Xenopus tropicalis: one gene and its partners. The protein of the gene in region 4 binds, or shares a complex with, the protein of the main gene of each other region. Links are inferred from orthologs where the notes say so. Each region holds a gene or a part of one and is shown on either strand. Other genes may lie near its edges.

Region 1 (5,319 bases), on a different chromosome or scaffold from region 4:
AAAATACAGCAAAAATTCTACATCCACTTATTGATATCACACTTTTGCAAAGACTGGGCAGCATTGCAGCCAAGTGTTCATGTTGACATGTGATTTACATATTAATTTACCTAAATATATAAATGACCAACAACCAACTTGGGAAAGAAATTGGGAGGGGACAAAATGCTGTAGTCCTAAAGGTCAGCCAATCAAGACTATAACCCCTTCTACTTTATATGATGAGGTTCTTACAGTGCTGCTTGCACTGTCAGTCATCATAAAATAGGAGGAGATTATTAGACAACGAGGAAAGAGAAAATAAGAGTTAATAGCACAGATACAGACATCTCTGATGCACTGAAAAGAAAAATGCTCCCTACTATTCCATTCTATATCAAAAAATTAAAAACACAGGTTAGTATATAATTCACTTTAAATGCTAAGTTGGTGCTAAATAATGTATATTTTTATTTTATAGTCCAATCTTGAATTTCATTCCATATTAGATTAAAAATTCTGCTTCCATATTGGATTTGTACTATCGGTGTCCTGGTCCATTACTAAATATTAAATTAGAGCCTGCTCTGGACTGTGCATTTTTCCCAGAAAGCAATGGGACATTGCATGTGACTGTTAGCCACTGGCTTGCTGCATTTTGGACAATGTAGTTTATAGTGGCTGGAGTCTTGTTGCATGCAAATGTCACTTCTAAATATACTTCTAATTTTTTTCCAAAATGTATCATTGCCTTGTTCAGATAGGATATTTTTCTAGTTATATCTTACAGTAGGTAAGTCTTCAGTTCTGCAGTGGTCATCATTAATATTCACAAAGCATGACATAATTATTTTATAGTACTGTATAACAATCTATTATGAAGAGGTATTTTCTTAGCAATACATGTGCATGTATACAGAAAATGTACATTTATGGATACATGGGAGCATATATGCTTATTATGCACACAGATACAATATATATGAATTCCCCACAGATATGAATATGTAACAGGCTGGGTTCACCCAGTCAGGCAGAACTGTCATGAGATGTCTGCACACATATAATTGGAGCTGAGACACAGACAGGACCCAGACAGCTTGGAAACTGGCAATGCTGGTTTCAATGGCAACTTTATAAGATCAGGAATGATAGCTTGAGTGGATAGGCAAGTGTGTACCAATATAACAGTCAAAATATAATGCACGTTCAATTATTTTCTGCCATAATACTGCCCCTTTACTACACCAGGCTGAGCACACAACAAATATATATAAGGAGCATTCATTATTAAAGTATATATATAGTACATATTAAATATATATTAAAGTATATATAGTACCTAAATATCAACAATATGACAGAAATGATGTTAGGACACATAAAGAAAAAACATATCAGGGTTGCTTGGGTGCACATGCAGATCTCTGTATATATATATATATATATATATATATATATATATATATATATATATATATACACACAGGGACTTACACTGCATAATTTGTGCTTTACTAAGTTCTAGTGTAGTGTAAAAGGGCCTATATTCAATTTATATTTCTATAAATTCATATAAGGTATTTACCATGGCCTTATTTATCTGCGCATCATTATGTTTATTTGTATAAGGCAGTAAAAGCTGCCTTAATGTTTCTCACCAATGCAACCAGTTACATATGAACCACAGAGTCCACTGAAACCATGTCCTCTGGTGGCCAAATTATCCTAAAAATGATTTAAACTCTAGCTTAAATTTACCAAGCAGTAACTTTTGGACACAGTGCCTCTAATAAATTAAATTTCCTTTGTTTTACTTACTAATATAAGTGATAAAACTTATTATTCTTTAAAAAATGATTAAAACAATGTCTCCTTAATATACAAATATACTAAAGAAATTAGAATTGTCAAATTAAAGCAGGTATACACGGATCTTATAATATATGTGAGTGTGGCATACAGCCTAATACAACAGCGCCATATATGTAAGTCCTTGTGAAAGCAAGATTAGTAACAGTAACTGTATTTTAATTTACCAAAAATTTAATTTACCAATAAGATAATCTGTAACATTAGATTTTCACTCAATAAAGGCTTTCTCCTTATCAAGTCTTCATGTCCAGTGCATTGCTTGAGAGAGAAGCCTTGCCAATTTGCTTACAAAGCTACAGTCACAATCTGCAAATATTTTTGATAAAAAGCATGCATATAATGCATTTTACAGAGAGCAGTCATACTATATTTTGCAGTGCATGTGTCAAATCAAATTAGGTTAAACTGATAACTGCACACAGTACCAGAAAGAACGAGAACTGCCTCTCACAGTTGTATTCAGTCAGAGCTGAATGAGTTAAAGTGAAATGTCCCCAGCTTAACCACTGGGAGAAATATAGGATTTTAGGTGACAGCAGTAACCCATATTTTACTCATATCTGACAAAATGCAGTTCTTCTATAATCTTCTGCAGCTTTAAATATGCTCATGGCTGCAAAACTACAAATAATTATTTAGTGTCAAACAGTATGCAGAGTGATGCAGTATCCATTATTTGCTTATTATTACAGTCTGATTACTTCAGGCACTGACTGGGTTAATGGCTACTTTATCACGTGCATACAGTCTGCCCAGATGTGCACTAGGAATTAAGGACAGAAGGTTCCCAGGCACTCAGCTCACTTGCTCTGCTTGCATGGTGCTATGTATGGCTTAAAACACATATTTAAGCATATTACATATTTTTGAATAAATATTATGCATAAAATGCATTAATAGTGTTAACATAAGTTACAGGGATTTTATTTTTAAGACAATACCCTAAATTTAGCTTTCAAAATTCATATTACTCAGGTGCAACCAAATACTATTAAAATCAGCAAAACACTGCTGTACATTTTATATGAAAATGCTGTAGAAAAGTGAACTATGGGTAATCACAAATAAATTCCCTTTCCCAAAGGAACGATAGGCAAAGACAGATGGATGAATAGGTAGCTAAATACATGGATAGATAATAGGCAAACGATCGCAGTCGCAGTCTAGACCTCAGACATACCCTAAGGATACAGTCTAATCCAGATGTAAGACCCTCCTCTAAAAGCAGCTGGATGTGACCTCACTGTGAAATTCTATAATGCATAGTATACGTGCAGAATAGATGGTTGATTCCACTTTTTGACATTTAATATATATATAGCACCCACAAGAGTTAATATATATAACAATCTACATGCAAATGTACAGAACAAACACACACACACACATATATCTATATATATATAGATATATATATAATCTCAAATAAATGTATTACATACACACACACACTATAATACACAAATTGGCAGGCAGACACACTCTTTCATGCATAGTATTCATGTAGATATGTCCATGTTGTAATAATGCTAAACACACATGTATACATCTGAAAGATATACAGTCTCAGACAGTGTAAATGCAGTATACACAGCTGTAACTATCTTTAAGTCCAGTATACTCACGATTTTAAGGGGTTGTGGAGGGCTGTGTTCATGGTGCAGCTGGGTATTAGGCAGGAACACTGCAGCCCCTCTAATATCACAATACTGTACAATTTCATTCATTCTGCACGCAATGGCCAATCAAAGGCCGTGTTGAGGGTAAGACTGGGAGTTGTAGTTTTGAGAGCCGCGCCAGTATGAATATGAATTGAAAATGGCACTACGTTGCCCAGAGTTCATTGCGAGGGACAAGTCTGGGAGGCTGAAGAAGAAAATGATTGGTGGAGAAGGTTAAGGTACTGTAAAGGGAGGAGGGGGAGCTGGGGGCAATGGGAAGGGGAGACTTTGTGTGTTGGATGGGGGGCGCGGGAAGGGATTGTCAAAAAGGGAGAGACAGGCAAGTTTATGAGTTAGGTGGGAGAGGCAGTCAGGTTGTGAGGAAAACTGAGATAAAAATAGGACGAGCCTAGTCATTGCTGGTGAGGCCCCATAAGGGCCTTTTGTTAACAAGCCAGCAGAAAAAAATGCAGCAAGTGGGTTGGGGGGAAGGGGGGGAGAAGGTGAGGGGAGAGCAGAATAATAGAGATCAGGCGGTGGAGAGAGAATTGGGAGGGGATGAATGGACTTAAAACTGATAAAGGAAAACACTGAAGTTGTTAATATCAGTTATATCCTAAATTTGTTTGATTGCAGGTCCAGTAATAAGATACAAGTACGCTGCAGGGAAGATTGGAGCCTTGAGGAAGATAGTGTGCCCACTGCAATTCAGGGACCTGCAGGAAAGAAAGGAGAACCAGTCACCATGGAAGGGTAAGGGAAAAGTGTGTCCTTCATCAGCAGGGCTCCCATAGTCCCCATTGCTGGCACAGATCATGCAGCAGGTCCCCATTTCCGTGGCCTTGCCAAACAGATATGGTGTGCGCTCCACTTTCTTGTAAACTCCACATAAAGTGAGTACTTTAGTACTATGTCAAGCACCTGTATTCAGCTGCTTCTTTTATATTCCTCATATAATAAGCCCCCCTTCACACTGCCACATTATAATTATTGTTATTCTTTGTATAGTGCTAACACATTCTTATGCGCCTGGCAAAGATTATATATCATTCACACCAGTCCCTTCCCAAGTGTAGCATAAAGCTCTAAGTACCTATAACAATTATGCCCTCTGTGGTCAATTTGAGTTCTAGGTACTGAATCTAGGACCCCAAAGTCAAAAGAGCTAACCATTGCGCCACTTTGCTGCCCTTAAAATTTTCAGTGATCTTTAGTGTGCAGTCGATCCTTTTATATTTCCTGTACAGGCAATTTATGTCAGAGCTGGTGAGGAATGTTGCGTTATGACCCAGATGTTTTTTTTCCTTTGCCAAAGAGATTAGAGAGCCAGAAAAGAACAGGGCCTTGGCCATAGTACATGGTCACTTTCAGTTTATGCAAATCGCTCTATGTAAAGGTGACCGATTAGGCAGCTTATCTGCCCGTCTATGGGCACCACCGACAGGCCTCCCCAACAGAAAACTGGAATTGGGCAGATCTCGATTGGGCAGGTTTGATTTTTCCGTCAAATGGGGGACCGTATAGGCTCGATGATGCGGTCCCCCATCCGATGGCGCCTATGCCAGCCGTTCTGATTTGATTGAATTAACCCTATATCGCCCACCCGTAGATGGGCATATCGGGAGAAGATCTGCTCACTTGGCGACCTCGCCAAATGAGTTGATCTTACAGTGAATGGCCACCTTAAGACTGGGGGTCCACCACAGTGGACAATATGGATTTTAATACCATTCACTCTGTTTGTCTGGAGGCTCCCAGTCGTTCCTATTCACTTATATACTTATGTAGTGGTGAACTATAAACT
Region 2 (5,403 bases), on a different chromosome or scaffold from region 4:
TTCTTCTCTAAGTTCCATACAGTAGCATTTCCTCTCCCCTCCACAAGCAATCAGCTTGCTACTCACCCTTAAAGGGACAGCAATAATAAATGCAAAGGTATACAGGAATACAATGGTAGTTTTGCTTGCATGCATCTTCCAGTACACAGCTTATGTTCAAACTGAACATAAAGCCCCTACACTAAAATATGAATGAAGCTGACACGCAGTTTTGGCATCATTTTGCCATGTATTGTTGTATGCTATGAAGTTAAGTAAGACTGTGTACAGCCACACAGTGTACTGTACAATTGCCTTTTTCTTATTGCTTGTCTATGCTTCCACAGCAACCATCAGGGGTTAGAACTGTAGGGGGGCCAGTCATGGCTGGGATTATTTTATACTGTTAAGGAAGACACAGGGGTCCCAAATCTTTGCAGGGATGAGACCCAACCGAGAAAATACATTTCCGATGGTTGTCCTTCATGCAGAGTTACCCAATGGAAACATATACAAGTATTACTGCACCTTAAGTGTAGTAGAGCAAGCTGTTGAAGGAGTCTTGTAACAAGGCCATAGTAACAAGCAGTATTCAAGTGTAACTGTAAGTCAAGGTTTCTAACCTGCAGCCATCCCGATATTGTTAAACTACAACTCTCAATGGATGGTGGTAGTTGTAGTTCAATAACAACGTGGCAGTTGTTCAGCTGCAGCACTGCCCCTAACGTAAGGAGTGAAAGCCACAGGAGACTTCAGGATTGCGTCGGTCGCTACATTGTCTGTGCACGTCGCTAACCGAGCGCTGCGCCGGCTGAGGAAGATTAGATGTGACCAGTTGCATTCCCGTCTGGATACCAGGGATTGCTATGGAGCAGAAGCAGTAATCCCACACAAGGGCTATTAAGTGATTAGCTTCTCTTGCGCTGACTACAAAACTGCAAACTGGATTTACAACCCGAACGCCTTGCGGTTCCCCTCTTGGCATATTGCAAAGGGCAAGTGGTGGAGAAACGACGTTACAGCTTTAAAAGTGCTGTAGGAGAGCCACATTGCTAAGCAACGGGGTGGCTGGGGTTACATGCACTGAGGTCACCTTATTTTGCAGTAACAGCAATAAGTGACCTCCCTGAGCATCATGAAGCCGGTGCACTGACTGCAGGAGATTAGCTGACACTGAGAAATACCAGGGGGCAGAGGTGGGAGGAGGGTGCTTAGCTCATATATCAGCAGTGCCAAAGAGCCCCTATGAGGAAATTAGAGAAGATAAAGCAGATAGGTGGAGGCTGGCTCTGGGCATCCTATTAAATGTCAGGGCACATGCAGGGACTGAGCTTTGATGAAGTGGCAGGAGTCCAGGCTGCACACAGCAAGCCATCAGCTGCCATTTGGCCAGAGCTAGCAGGCAGTGCAACTCAGTGCCAATTTAATTGCTCCCCACCTCCTGAAAAGTGTCCAGACATGGCCTAGACTGCCTTAACTCCTTCCCTTCTGGAACAACTTGCGCAGAAGAAGGCAGTGCATTTACAGCTTGTTACTGAACTACCATTGCCAGGATGTTTGGGTCTTGTTAGGCTTACTGGGAGTCGTAGTTCATTAGCAGCTGTTGAGCCGCCACAGGTTCCAGATCCGTGCCCAGACTTTGCATTGCACCGCTCACTTCTCCAGCAGCAGCAACTAAGGGGTTGTCTCCACCTCCCCTCACTGCTCTCTGTCCGGCCACCCAAGGGAGTGACCTCTGGTTCTTTGACAGCTCCCTAATACCTCGCAGAACACCCCTTCCATGCCACGCCTTCAGCTTCGCGATTGGCTGGCGCGCCGGTAACCCTCATTCCTATTGGCTCGTCCCTCTCCCCCCACCCGCAACGAACCTTCAGAACTCCGAGACAGACAATATTCAGTTACATTGTAGCAAGATGGCGACTGTCATTCACAACCCACTGAAACCGTGAGTAGAAATGGGCAGAATCCGCGTGTTTCCATATGAAAAAAAGGCGCCTTTCTCGGCTGGTGCGGAGCTTGTGTGGAGACAAGTGCGACTCCCGAATGCACCGGGCGCAGCTCCAGGCACTGACTCGCTACCCGGGCACTGGCAGCCTTTATGCCTACTCTCTTTATTCTTTCCCTGCACTTGCTACTGTGGTACGGGCGCCTGACGGGTGTTGCGCTCTGCCTTGTGCGCTGTGGGTACGGCTGGGAATGTGCCAGCTTGAGGCAACTGGGCACTTACTGCGCACCGGGTACCTAACCGAGCGGGGCGTCCCGGGTAGAAGCCAGACCTTTGTGAGAAGCAGCGCAGCGGGTGGCATGTGGGGTGCCAAGCCTGGTACCGTAAGGGTGCTTTTGGGGTGTCACAGGCATGGCCGGGTAATAGAGATTAGAGTTTGGAGAGCCAGCGTGGCAGACAAAGGGCGATTTTGAGGTGATAGCCGTTGCACAGTAATTATGGTATCGGGGAGTCAGGAATGGAAGAGTCTGCGGATTTCGGGGTTCCAGGTACAACAGAGTAAGGATGTGCCTATGATACCTGTTGTATTAGAGCAAGCGTGGTTACTGGGTGCCAGCTATGCCAGAGTAAAGATACTTTGGTTCCCTTGCTTTATCCTAGTGAGGGTGCTATCTGGGTGCCACTTATAGCACAGGAGGCGTGTTTGGCGTGAGTGCCAGTGATGACACGGTTATTTAGCTTTTAGGGTGCAGGTGTAGCAGAGAAATGGTGCTTTTTAGGATGCCTTATAGTAGCATGATGATACCTGTAGGTACAGCAGAGTACTGATGCTTTAAGGGTGGCGTGTATAACAGAGAAATGGTGTTTTAGGGTGTCTTGTGTACAAGAGTAATGATGCTTTTTGGTGGCTGGTACAGCAGGGCAATGATGCTTTTCGCCTGCTTTAGTTGTAGAATAGCAGAGTAATGATGCCTATAGGGTGCAAATATAGTAAAGTAATGATGCGTTTAGGGTGCAGGAATAGCCCAGTAACGATGCAGGTATAGCAGTAACGATGGATTTAGGGTGCAGGTAAAGCAGAAATGTTGGATTTAGGGTGCAGGTATAGCAGAGTAATATGCATTTAGGGTGCAGGTATAGCAGTAACGATGGATTTAAGGTGCAGGTAAAGCAGAAATGTTGGATTTAGGGTGCAGGTATAGCAGAGTAACTATGCATTTAGGGTGCAGGTATAGCAGTAATCATGCATTTAGGGTGCAGTTATAGCAGTAATCATGCATTTAGGGTTCATGTATAGCAGAGTAACGATGCATTTAAAATGCAGTTATAGTAAAGTAATGATGTAGTTAGGGTGCAGGTATAGCAGAGTAACCATGCATTTAGGGTTCAGGTATAGCAGTAATCATGCATTTAGGGTTCAGGTATAGCAGAGTAAGGATGCATTTAAGGTGCAGTTATAGTAAAGTAATGATGTAGTTAGGGTGCAGGTATAGCAGAGTAACGATGGATTTAGGGAGCACATATAGCAGAGTAACGATGCATTTAGGTAGCAGGTATAGTAAAGTAATGATGTAATTAGGGTGCAGGTATAGCAAAGTAATGATGAAATTAGGGTGCAGGTATAGCAGAGTAACGATGGGTTTAGGTAGCAGGTATAGCAAAGTAACGATGGATTTATGTAGCAGGTATAGTAAAGTAACGATGCATTTAGGTAGCAGGTATAGTAAAGTAATGATGTAATTATGGTGCATGTATAGCAGAATAACGATGCATTTAGGGTGCAGGTATAGCAAAGTAACGATGCATTTAGGTAGCAGGTATAGTAAAGTAATGATGTAATTATGGTGCATGTATAGCAGAATAACGATGCATTTAGGGTGCAGGTATAGCAAAGTAACGATGGATTTAGGGTGCAGGTATAGCAAAGTAAAGATGGATTTAGGGTGCAGGTATAGCAAAGTAACGATGGATTTAGGGTGCAGGTATAGCAAAGTAACGATGCATTTAGGGTGCAGGTATAGCAAAGTAACGATGGATTTAGGGTGCAGGTATAGCAAAGTAAAGATGGATTTAGGGTGCAGGTATAGCAAAGTAACGATGGATTTAGGGTGCAGGTATAGCAAAGTAACGATGCATTTAGGGTGCAGGTATAGCAAAGTAACGATGCATTTAGGTAGCAGGTATAGTAAAGTAATGATGTAATTATGGTGCATGTATAGCAGAATAACGATGCATTTAGGGTGCAGGTATAGCAAAGTAACGATGGATTTAGGGTGCAGGTATAGCAAAGTAAAGATGGATTTAGGGTGCAGGTATAGCAAAGTAACGATGGATTTAGGGTGCAGGTATAGCAAAGTAACGATGCATTTAGGGTGCAGGTATAGCAAAGTAACGATGGATTTAGGGTGCAGGTATAGCAAAGTAAAGATGGATTTAGGGTGCAGGTATAGCAAAGTAATGATGGATTTAGGGTGCAGGTATAGAAGTAATGATGCGTTTAGAGTTCAGGTATAGCAAAGTAATGATACGTTAGTAAAGTGCCAGTGTCAGTGCTGTAAGAGGGTTATAGGTGGCAGGGGTTGCTTAATGAAGGGCATAGAGGGCATTTGTCTGGGCTCCCGCATCACAGGTGCTTCTTAAGGAGAAAAGGTAGATTCAACGACTAATAACATATTATCATGTTATCAAATGGCTGTATTGTCAGTAATGACGAGTCTAGTCTAACACACATCTTTCCAACTGTTGCTGAATTGTAATTTCCCGCAGACGGCCGGACAGTGGGGGATGGTGCTGATTAGCAGTGGGCAGAGCTTTGTTCTGTGGTTCAGCTGATGGCAATGAGGGGCGCTACGTATGGGAGTGTGCCCACCGGGAAGGTGATGCCATTGGGTAAATATGGGGGGGCAGTGGGGCACATCTGAGAATCGTGCCAAGGATGCAATATATATTGGCTACTGGAGGCGCTAGTTTATGGGATACCTGCCGGACGCTATTAGCGATCTGATTTAACTGAAGGTATATTTGTGTGTTACATACCAACAAATCACGTCATAGGGGTTATTTTGGATGGGGGTGTGAGGGAGTGCTAGAGAGTCGGACCCAAGCAGATGCTCTCAGGGAACAGAATATGTTATTGTTTCTGCAAGGGCAAGGGTACCTGTTGGCCATATTAATATATTATATGGAAAGTTAGGCAGGAAGGGATTGGCGAGTTATTGGACCGGACTGTGAAAGAGAGAACAAGTGGGAATAACTAGGGGTGCTTTTATATTGAGGTCAGGGGTAGCCAGTGAGATGGAGCGTTTGTTATTAGGCCTCTATTGCCTGAGGTAATCATAGCTGGGTTACCTCAGGCAAGGGGTAGCCAGTGAGATGGGGCATTTGTTATTTATCAGAACAGAGTAAGGGGACCTGCAATTTGCAGTTTAATCTAATCTGTGCATCTGAGGCCATGCAAGGGGTAACCTATCAGAAGGGAT
Region 3 (5,480 bases), about 60 Mb from region 4:
CAATCAGTGACTTGAGGGGGGGCCACATGGGACATAACTGTTCAGTTAGTTTGGAATCTGATGCCAAGCTGCTTCATCTCAGTACCTCTGTTTTGTAGGTTGTACTGCTTGTTAGGGTTCCATTTGATGTCCATGGTTAATTTTTACTGTTGACTCTGTTTATGACTAGATTATGGTCTCTTTGATACCTAATATGTCACAAATTGACGATAGGATTTTGCATCTTTGCCTTGTATAAGACCAACTAATGTATCATTTGCAAACTGTAAATCCTATCATAATATTCCAATGTGTAGAGGAAAGCCTTTCCAAATAAGTACAGGCTGATTTAAAGCAAAAAAAAGAACCAGATTCATATTAATCTTCTTGGAATAAAGTTCCACAAACTTTTCCTGATATGCCCACCCTGAGGTAGGCAATACCGAGCTGACCTGATCTTTGGCCCAAGGGCAAAACTATTGGATCACAATTACAGTAAAAGCAGGATTTTGGGGCGAGGACTGCATCATCCATGCCCAGACTGGACTTTTTTTGGATAGATCTCAGTAAGGCAGGCCCGTTGGAGGGCCCAATACATGGATAGATAAGCTGCAGACTCAGCCTGAAGAAGATAAATCGGCACCTTACATCTCCCAATGTATTGTCACCTTAAGGCTGATGTCAGACGAGGTGTAGGGCGGATATTTTCGGCAAGCGGAAAAACGCTTGCCGAAAATTCCGCCCTACGCCTCCTACTTGTGCCTGCACACGAATGAATGGAATACGCTTGGGTGCAGGCACATGTAGCAAAAATACACATAAAAACGCGAGAGTTTGAAAGTCTCCCGTTTTTATGCGTATTTCGGCTACATGTGCCTGCACCCAAGCGTATTCCATTCATTCGGGTGCAGGCACATGTAGGAAGCGTAGGGCGATATTTTCGGCAAGCGATTTTCCGTTTGCTGAAAATATCCTCTCTACGCCTCGTCTGGCATTAGCCTAAAATGCCAGAAACAGGTGCATGGCTACAGGCCTGACCTAGAATTCAAAATAGGCCCTGGTATTTCAAGTACACAGAGGCCCAAACAGCCTCCCTGCCAGCCCAATAGATAGCAACTCCCTATGGCATCTTACAGCAGCCCCTCCGGCATTTGCTAGTATCCACAGATATCCTCCATCCTCTTGTGTCTTTGACTCTTATCTTATTACAATTGTATCTTTTATTTAATTGTGCTTATTGTAATACTTTGTATTTATCTATTTTAATACCCCCTGTTTATATTAATGTATTCTACTGTACAGCGCTGCATATATAAGTAGCGTTTTATAAATAAAGATATACATACATACATTTTCTAGTGTTATGGGACGTTAAAGACCCTTATAAACAAAGGGATATTCCATGTAACCTCTTCTTTTACATAGATATGTATATTTTTAGACAGGTCTATATTTTGTTCTTCATCCAACAATTAACAAAACAAATTACCCTGCCATGTTAGCTACTGGCGCAGATTTGGCTACAGAGTTATTCTAAACAAAATAGCAGTACAACTGTAGAGCAGGTATTAAGAAGTATATGAAAGGGAATGCACTCAGGTGACTCACACATCAGCACTAGGGCAAAGGTAAGTCTGAGGATAACCACACTAGCACGTGCTACTAACATGCTCACGCTACAGGACATGCAGCTTGTAAACAGTTCTATATATATATATGTGTATATATGCATTCCTCTCATTCCGTGCTGTCTATGGAAGGGGCACTTTCTGCAACAACACTCCAGCTGCTAAAGTATCAGGCACAGTTATGTCAGTTCTTTAAGTTATTACGCTTGTTGTGCTATTTGCTTCTATTTATGTGTTGTCAACACATTAAATGAAAGCAAACAATGCAATCAGCTAAAAAGTATCAATATAATATTTATTTTTCCCTAGATGAGTAGGAAACACAAATAGAGCATTTGGTATTAGTCAGGTAACATGAATGATTGAACCACTCTCTCCACCGACCTGTAGCACCATACATATGTTCTAGCCCAAAACCCTGCGTGTGTGGGGTGTCCCTAACTTAGAACCTCCCAAAAGGGTGAAGAGTTGTGCCACTGAGCATGTGCAGAGGATCCGTGTATGTGAAACAGATGCTGGCAGTTAGGAACCAGCAATGCAGGGATGTAGCCCTGTGCTTCCCCATGGACCAAAAGCAAAAGAATATAACAGAACCCAACCCAGGGCTTTACTAAAGGGATAATACTGGGGAAATGTTCACCCCTTTACTGTTTGGCACAATGACTGTGAATGGCAAGGGTAACAAGATCTGACATGACAGGAGAGGATAATGGTGGGGCCGGGAGTTGCCACTGAGGAGCAAGGTACTGACATGAAAGGCTAGTACTATGCCTTGCCCACTGAGCTGACAATTGGTGGGATGCAGAGTTATTTATTCTTCCTACAATAGGGCATTACTGTACATCTTCCATCTGTTGCTATAGAAATAAAAGATGGCACGGCATGACATGTCCGGATTCTGTAGCGCACAGGGACACATTCAGGGCTCATTTTGTTCTATTATTCAGCTTACTGGGCGGGTGAAGGCCCCATATAACCATTTAATATAACAGGCTCCCTTCTCTAGAGGAAGCATCATTGTCAGTAACCTAGGTGACAGGCAGAGTAGGGGCCATTGCGGGGCCTCCTGCTGCTAAGTGCCCACCAGCCCTAACACCCCCGTACTCGGGCCTGTCTCTTTGTTCTAGGTGTGCAGCTCAGGGAAACACACTAGGGGACTTCGTTTGCCGTAGGACTCGAAGTCCCTCATTGCAGTACCTTCTTATAATTCTTGCCCAGCCATAGCCGCACGTTGTCGAACTGTGCGACAGTGTCGGATGCCTCGTAAAATTTCACATTCGGGCCGCCGTCCTTCTTCCGCACCGCCATCTTCTGCCAGCTTGCCCGGCACCTCCAACCCGAGAGCTGAGCGGCACCTAGCGGCCGGAACGATAAGTGCAGCGGGACATCGGCAACCAGTGGCCCTCCAGTTGTTAGCGAACTACATGTCCCAGCATACCACGGCGGCCTTGGGCAGGATACTGCGGCTAAAAGCCACTGTGCCGCTAAAATGGGCAATATAGCGCCAAAAAGCCTGACGTGATATTATTGATTGGAAAGAAGAAGTGGCGATCACGGCGGTACGCATAAGACTTATACCGCGGTGCCAGCGCCGGGCACTTCCAGCAGGTGCGAACACTGTGACTCGAATATAAGAGTCAGTAAGTTCTTTCTACGGCCGGACTCACAGGCTGAATGTTCCTGCCCTAGTGCCGCTGGGAAACACTCGCTGCAGCAGCGCCCACACAGCAGCGCCCACACAGCAGCGCCCAGTCTTCCACAACTCAAATTGCCCCCTTCCATTCGGTGTCCTTTCCCAGCCCCTCCGTGCATTGCAGCCCCTCCAAGCATAGCTTTGCCAGGGAGCGTACGGCCGCCATGTTGGGGAAAAACGCACGCCGGCTCACGCTCTGTGTCAGTAGGCTGAGCGAGTTGGTTGGCCGACAGTCACGGTGGCCGAGTGGTTAAGGCGTTGGACTCGAAATCCAATGGGGTTTCCCCGCACAGGTTCGAATCCTGTCCGTGACGGATTCGTTTAGCTTGTAAATTCTATTTTTTTTCCTCACAAACAGAATATTCCCCAGGCTTACTGACTTTACTGTAGCTCTCCTCCTGGTGTACACTTTCTTACTGTAAATGCTACAGAGGTACTTTAGTACGTACTGTGTTTGGGCGACTTGACAATTCTCAGCGTCCCTCCAAAGTGTGACAGAATGGGGAGACTAACAAGTTGCCCATTAAAAACAATGGCGGATCGGCAGAGGGATACTGGACAAAACTTGGGCAAGGCACACACCACCAAAGATCCATGGGTGCTGCAGACCTGAACTCATTCATTTATTGTAAAACATTTTCATTTATTGAAAAAAAAATTGTATGGGTTCTGCTAAGGTTACACTAGGGCTGGGTGCAATTGGCCTTTTTATATTTGTATTTTTCTGCCCTATTAATAATTGGCATCAAGTATAAATTTTATTGGCCAGGTTGCACCTGTGTTGGGTACTGGGCAGGAAGGGGGCTGTGATAGTTACAGTAGTACAGATAGTGTGATAGTTACAGTAGTACAGATAGTGTGATAGTTACAGTAGTACAGATAGTGTGATAGTTACAGTAGTACAGATAGTGTGATAGTTACAGTAGTACAGATAGTGTGATAGTTACAGTAGTACAGTACAGTAGTACAGATAGTGTGATAGTTACAGTAGTACAGTACAGTAGTACAGATAGTGTGATAGTTACAGTAGTACAGTAGTACAGATAGTGTGATAGTTACAGTAGTACAGTACAGTAGTTAGTAGTACAGTAGTACAGATAGTGTGATAGTTACAGTAGTACAGATAGTGTGATAGTTACAGTAGTACAGTAGTACAGTAGTACAGATAGTGTGATAGTTACAGTAGTACAGTAGTAGTATAGTTACAGTAGTACAGTATAGTGTGATAGTTACAGTAGTACAGTAGTACAGATAGTGTGATAGTTACAGTAGTACAGATAGTGTGATAGTTACAGTAGTACAGTAGTACAGTAGTAGTGTGATAGTTACAGTAGTACAGATAGTGTGATAGTTACAGTAGTACAGATAGTGTGATAGTTACAGTAGTACAGATAGTGTGATAGTTACAGTAGTACAGTACAGTAGTACAGATATAGTACAGTAGTACAGATAGTGTGATAGTTACAGTAGTACAGATAGTGTGTTACAGTAGTACAGTAGTATAGTGTGATAGTTACAGTAGTACAGATAGTGTGATAGTTACAGTAGTACAGATAGTGTGATAGTTACAGTAGTACAGTACAGTAGTACAGATAGTGTGATAGTTACAGTAGTACAGATAGTGTGATAGTTACAGTAGTACAGATAGTGTGATAGTTACAGTAGTGTAGTGTGATAGTTAGTAGTAGAGTAGTGTGATAGTTACAGTAGTACAGATAGTAGTGTAGTACAGTAGTATAGTTACAGTAGTACAGATAGTGTGTAGTTACAGTAGTACAGATAGTGTGATAGTTACAGTAGTACAGATAGTGTGATAGTTACAGTAGTACAGATAGTGTGATAGTTACAGTAGTACAGATAGTGTGATAGTTTACAGTAGTACAGATAGTGTGATAGTTACAGTAGTACAGATAGTGTGATAGTTACAGTAGTACAGATAGTGTGATAGTTACAGTAGTACAGATAGTGTGATAGTTACAGTAGTACAGATAGTGTGATAGTTACAGTAGTACAGATAGTGTGATAGTTACAGTAAAGTAGTACAGATAGTGTGATAGTTACAGTAGTTACAGATAGTGTGATAGTTACAGTAGTTACAGAGTACAGATAGTTGATAGTTTACAGTAGTACAGATAGTGTGATAGTTACAGTAGTACAGATAGTGTGATAGTTACAGTAGT
Region 4 (4,629 bases):
AAGAACACATTTGGGCTAACAACTGGTGTCCTTTATAAAGGCTTGTCATTTTAATATACTTTCTGTACTTTTAAGCAAACAATTTCACAGAAAATGCAGTAGCTGTAGCCATGCAACCAAGCGTCTGTGAATTCACTTGCTTATGTATGCTGGGAGTTTGCAAGGTTTTTACTATGTATTACTGTTGCTGGGGCCAAAGGAAAGAGGCTTCCAGGGATATCTCTTGTTTTAGACTTGTTGCACTTCACAATCCCCACAGAGACTACTTTGGAACATTCATGCAGATTTGGACCCACTGCCTGAATGCCTCTGTCTCCTTTATTTCTTCCTTTGGCAAGCTATTTCCCATTGGGTTTAAGTAGTTTTTGTTTGTTTTTTTTAATGTTATGAACATTTTATTTTTAAATGTTTAACGCTTATTTTTTCCCCCCATAAATAGCTCCCTGGATTATTAGAGCTGTTAGTGGAATATTTCAGACGGTGCCTGATTGAAATCTTTGGGATCCTCCGAGAGTATGAAGTTGGAGAACATGCTCAAAAGACATTGCTTCAACCCTTCCCATCTGATTCTTCAAGCCTTCTCTCAGGTGATGCTGAAATGGTTGATGGGGATGATCATCAGTCTGTGACAGATGGTGACCCCCAAAGTGAGGATGAAGAGGGTCTAGAGGAGAGAAAGGCCTATAATACTCCCTTTTCTAGTAACGAGGATACTCAACAACAAAGCAGCAAGTTTGACCGGCTCCCAATAAAAGTGGTTTCAAAAGAAGATCCCTTTGTGTTAGACTGCTCTCATCAGTTGGGGCGCTTACAAGAATTTGAAAGTGGCCTCTTGCACTGGCGAATTGGAGGGGGGGACACCACTGAACACATCCAGACACATTTTGAAAGACGTCCTGAACCCCCTCCACGCAGGCGGCCCCCAGTTAAACGCCGATCCCGGGAGCAGCAAATTCCAGCAGCAGAGGACACCACTCCTACTATCGATGATGTGCTGTGTGCCCGGCCAAGCTCATTATCACAGGAGACTGGTGAAACCACTGAAGAAGATTGTGAATTTTCACTGGGTGGGAGCCCTCCACCACGAAACAGGCATGGTATGAAAATATTAGAGGATGAGCCTCGCAGCAAAGATGAAACCCCATTGTGCACACTGGAGGATTGGCAGGATGCTCTGTCCAGACGTTGTGTGTGCATATCCAACATCTTGCGTAGCTTGTCCTTTGTGCCAGGCAATGACTTGGAAATGTCCAAACACCCTGGGCTGTTGCTGCTACTGGGAAAGTTAGTGCTTCTCCATCATAAGCATCCAGAACGCAAGCAAGCACCACTCACTTATGAGAAAGAGGAAGAGAGGGATCAGGGAGTAAGCTGTAACAAAGCAGAGTGGTGGTGGGACTGCCTAGAGATGTTGCGTGAGAATACCTTGGTTACGCTTGCAAACATCTCAGGGCAGCTGGATCTTTCGCCCTACCCTGAGAGCATATGTCTGCCTATTCTGGATGGCCTCTTACACTGGGCGGTGTGTCCTTCAGCTGAGGCACAGGACCCCTTTGTGACACTGGGCCCCAATGCGGTGCTGTCCCCCCAGAGACTGGTGCTTGAAGCCCTTAGCAAGTTAAGTATCCAGGACAGCAACGTGGACCTCATCCTGGCCACACCGCCCTTCAGTCGCTTGGAGAAGTTGTATGGGACCTTGGTAAGGTTCTTAAGTGACAGAAAAAACCATGTGTGCAGGGAAATGGCAGTTGTGCTTTTAGCCAATCTGGCTCAAGGTGACACGTTAGCAGCAAGGGCAATTGCCCTCCAGAAAGGCAGTATTGGAAACCTGCTTGGCTTTCTAGAGGACAGTCTGGCTGCCACCCAGTTTCAGCAGAGTCAGGCTGCCCACCTGCATGGTTCCTCTGCACCATTTGAGCCTACCAGCACAGACATGATGCGGCGGGCATCACGTGCCCTGCTGGCGTTGGCAAAAGTTGAGGAGAACCACCCAGAATTCACCTTGTATGAGGCTCGCTTGCTGGACATCTCTGTCTCTCCACTCATGAACTGCTCCGTGTCACAGGTAATCTGTGATGTTCTCTTCTTGATTGGCCAGTCATGACGGCCGCAGGGAGACACCTTCCCAGAATACTTTGAGTCTCCCACCACCGTAGAACGGAATCCTGTTGACACCATCCCTTCTCTTCTCCCCACCTTTTTATTTATGCAAAAAACTACGTCTCAATCCACTGTCTGCCCCAGAGAGGAGAATTGGCCACCATTGTGGACCTTTCCCCGCCCTCTTTCCTCCTCTCTGTGTGTTTTGGTGTTAACCAAAGCTACTGTATTTCAGTGAATTATTATATATATATCTATTTTTTTTTTTTTTTTTTTTTTACTGGGGGAGGAAGGGGCTCCACTGTACTTCTCCCCCTCCTCTTTACTGCCCCTTCTCCTAAGCCTTTAGCCAAGGGGTTGGCTCATCTTTTTAAGGAGATACAGACTTCTGAACCATCGAATAGGGAGAATGCCCCCCTCCCCCCAAGTCACCATAAAATAATTTGCAGGATTTCTTTCCTCACTTGCGATCTTTAGACTAGAAATTGTGTGCCCTTAACCTTTAAAGAGAAGAAAACTTAAAAAAAAAAATACAAAAAAATACAAAAAAAACCTTAAGACTTTACCTTTTTAACTGTGCTGAGAAACCCTGCAGAATCCGACCGGAGCTGGAAAAACCCCACAACCTCAGAGACTTATGATGTAGGTTTTTAAACAGAGAGCGACATGGAGCGCTTTTAGTTTTCCGGAGGAGAGAGAGACACAGAAAAGTCGCTTTTCCCCCAAAGTTTCATGTGAAGCAACACCCTTACCTCTTAAACTTAGATTGTAATAATCGGAGATCGCCTCTTATAACTGGTTTTAACCTTTAGCTTGTAGGTTGCAAGCTGCGATGTCTGTATATATATGATGATGTACATTAAAGACACACCTCTTGTATCCAACCTCAACCCACTTCCTTCCCAAACACACAAGCTCTTCCCCATTCATCTGTAGAAAATGGGGGATACGGTTAAGCCTATTAAAAACTCCCTTTCTCCAGGTATATGGAGGGAGGGACCTGTGTGGACGGTTTGCCTACAGAGCAGGAGTTCCCTGAACACTTCACTTCCTCACCCTTTGTATATCCAGCAATCCTATCAACTTTTAGAAGGTTTTTTTCCCATTACCAATCAAGGTGTGAGTTTTTTTTTGTTATTGTTTTTTGTTTTGTTTCAGTTCCCCAGACAATTTGAGAAGTTTTTTCCAGCAATTTCTGCATATTTGTAGCTCCAAAAAAATGTAAATTTCAGCCTATTCCTTTTTTGTTTTATTTTTATTTTTGCTTAATGAATATATCATTTATTCAGTATGAAATCTTTATACTCTATGTTCCCGTGTTAAGAATAAATGTACATTAAATCTTGTTAACAGAGTTGTGAGGAGCATTATTTAAATGGAGGCTATCATTGCAGCACCATAACATCTCCATGCATTTACTTAAAATTTTGTGCAATCTACAGCAAAATACACTCTCAAAATAGCTGTGGCACCACCTGTTTGCATGAGCATGTTTTTTGGGGGGGTCATTTTATCAACACTGGGCAATAACCTATCAACCAGTCAGTGATTAGCATTCTTCAGCCAGCTTCAGGTAGCACAATGAAAGCAAACATTTGATTGGTTGTTATGGGTTACAGCCCAGGTTCAGATTTGTCCGTTGTTCATAAATGAACAATGGAATCCTTAGAATCCTTAGTTTATTTTACCTTGTATTTTCCCCCATGATTTTGCTATGCCTATTTGATAATTCAGCTTCAAGGAGGAAACTGTTTGCTTGTTTTAGGCCCTATAAAGAACAGCTTAGGTTAGGTGCTATTGTAGGGCAAAATCATGGCTGAAAGATACATACACAGAGCTACTTAGTAGCAGTTACTTGTCAGGCTGCTAAATGCCAGAAAATACCCTATCATACACATTTTCGTGGCATTGTCTATTCTTGAAGCTGCTGCAAGTAGCTCTGTGTGTCTTCACCCTTATCTGAAAAGATGACCGCATATGATTTTTGTGCAGATAAACTAAATCAGTGGTCATGAAAGATCTCAACAGAAAACTTTCAATATGGTATAAAGGGTTTGATCGGTACATCTAAATGCACTGTTGCACTAAAGGCTGTGTCACAGCCAGACTTGGATTGTGATTTAGATGGTCTAATACCATTTACATATAAGTTCCTTTTGTAGTAAAGTCTAGGTTCCACGTTGCACAGATAAGCTATTTAGAATGCAATGGTTTTGGTACATTATAATAAATAATAAGTCATTGAAAAGCTCTCTGCAGACTACAGGTAGGGAACCCTTAAGTAAAATCCAAAAATGCTGCTGACACAAATATGACTGGATCCTGCGCATACACATTTTTTGTAAAACTGGCAAATGTTTGCCTATATTTGACTTGATCATTCCTTCATATTCATTAAAGGATAAGTCATGAAGCCCCTAAAATTACTCTATAAAGCACCCAGATTAACGTGAATTTCTCCCTGCACCCGTTCTCATGCATATGTATCACAAGAAGCAAAACTTCAGATTTCCCTGCTACTTCCTAGTC

What was found. The genes of interacting proteins can lie anywhere in the genome.
Region 1: arid1a (region 4) and dpf1 share a complex: the UniProt entries of both Homo sapiens proteins name them as parts of the neuron-specific chromatin remodeling complex. The link is inferred for Xenopus tropicalis from reciprocal best matches to the Homo sapiens genes ARID1A and DPF1.
Region 2: arid1a (region 4) and dpf3 share a complex: the UniProt entries of both Homo sapiens proteins name them as parts of the neuron-specific chromatin remodeling complex. The link is inferred for Xenopus tropicalis from reciprocal best matches to the Homo sapiens genes ARID1A and DPF3.
Region 3: arid1a (region 4) and smarcc2 share a complex: the UniProt entries of both Homo sapiens proteins name them as parts of the neuron-specific chromatin remodeling complex. The link is inferred for Xenopus tropicalis from reciprocal best matches to the Homo sapiens genes ARID1A and SMARCC2.

Annotation. Positions count from the first base shown.
Region 1 is NC_030684.2:77,398,450-77,403,768, reverse strand, and holds the start of dpf1 (zinc finger protein neuro-d4), read right to left. Parts: upstream 3,512-5,319; coding exon 3,480-3,511; intron 1-3,479. UniProt on the Homo sapiens protein: May have an important role in developing neurons by participating in regulation of cell survival, possibly as a neurospecific transcription factor. Belongs to the neuron-specific chromatin remodeling complex (nBAF complex).
Region 2 is NC_030684.2:106,340,154-106,345,556, forward strand, and holds the start of dpf3 (zinc finger protein DPF3), read left to right. Parts: upstream 1-1,892; coding exon 1,893-1,924; intron 1,925-5,403. UniProt on the Homo sapiens protein: Belongs to the neuron-specific chromatin remodeling complex (nBAF complex).
Region 3 is NC_030678.2:137,466,193-137,471,672, reverse strand, and holds the start of smarcc2 (SWI/SNF complex subunit SMARCC2), read right to left. Parts: upstream 3,512-5,480; 5' UTR 2,916-3,511; coding exon 2,805-2,915; intron 1-2,804. UniProt on the Homo sapiens protein: Involved in transcriptional activation and repression of select genes by chromatin remodeling (alteration of DNA-nucleosome topology).
Region 4 is NC_030678.2:77,722,554-77,727,182, forward strand, and holds the end of arid1a (AT-rich interactive domain-containing protein 1A), read left to right. Parts: intron 1-439; coding exon 440-2,104; 3' UTR 2,105-3,454; downstream 3,455-4,629. UniProt on the Homo sapiens protein: Involved in transcriptional activation and repression of select genes by chromatin remodeling (alteration of DNA-nucleosome topology).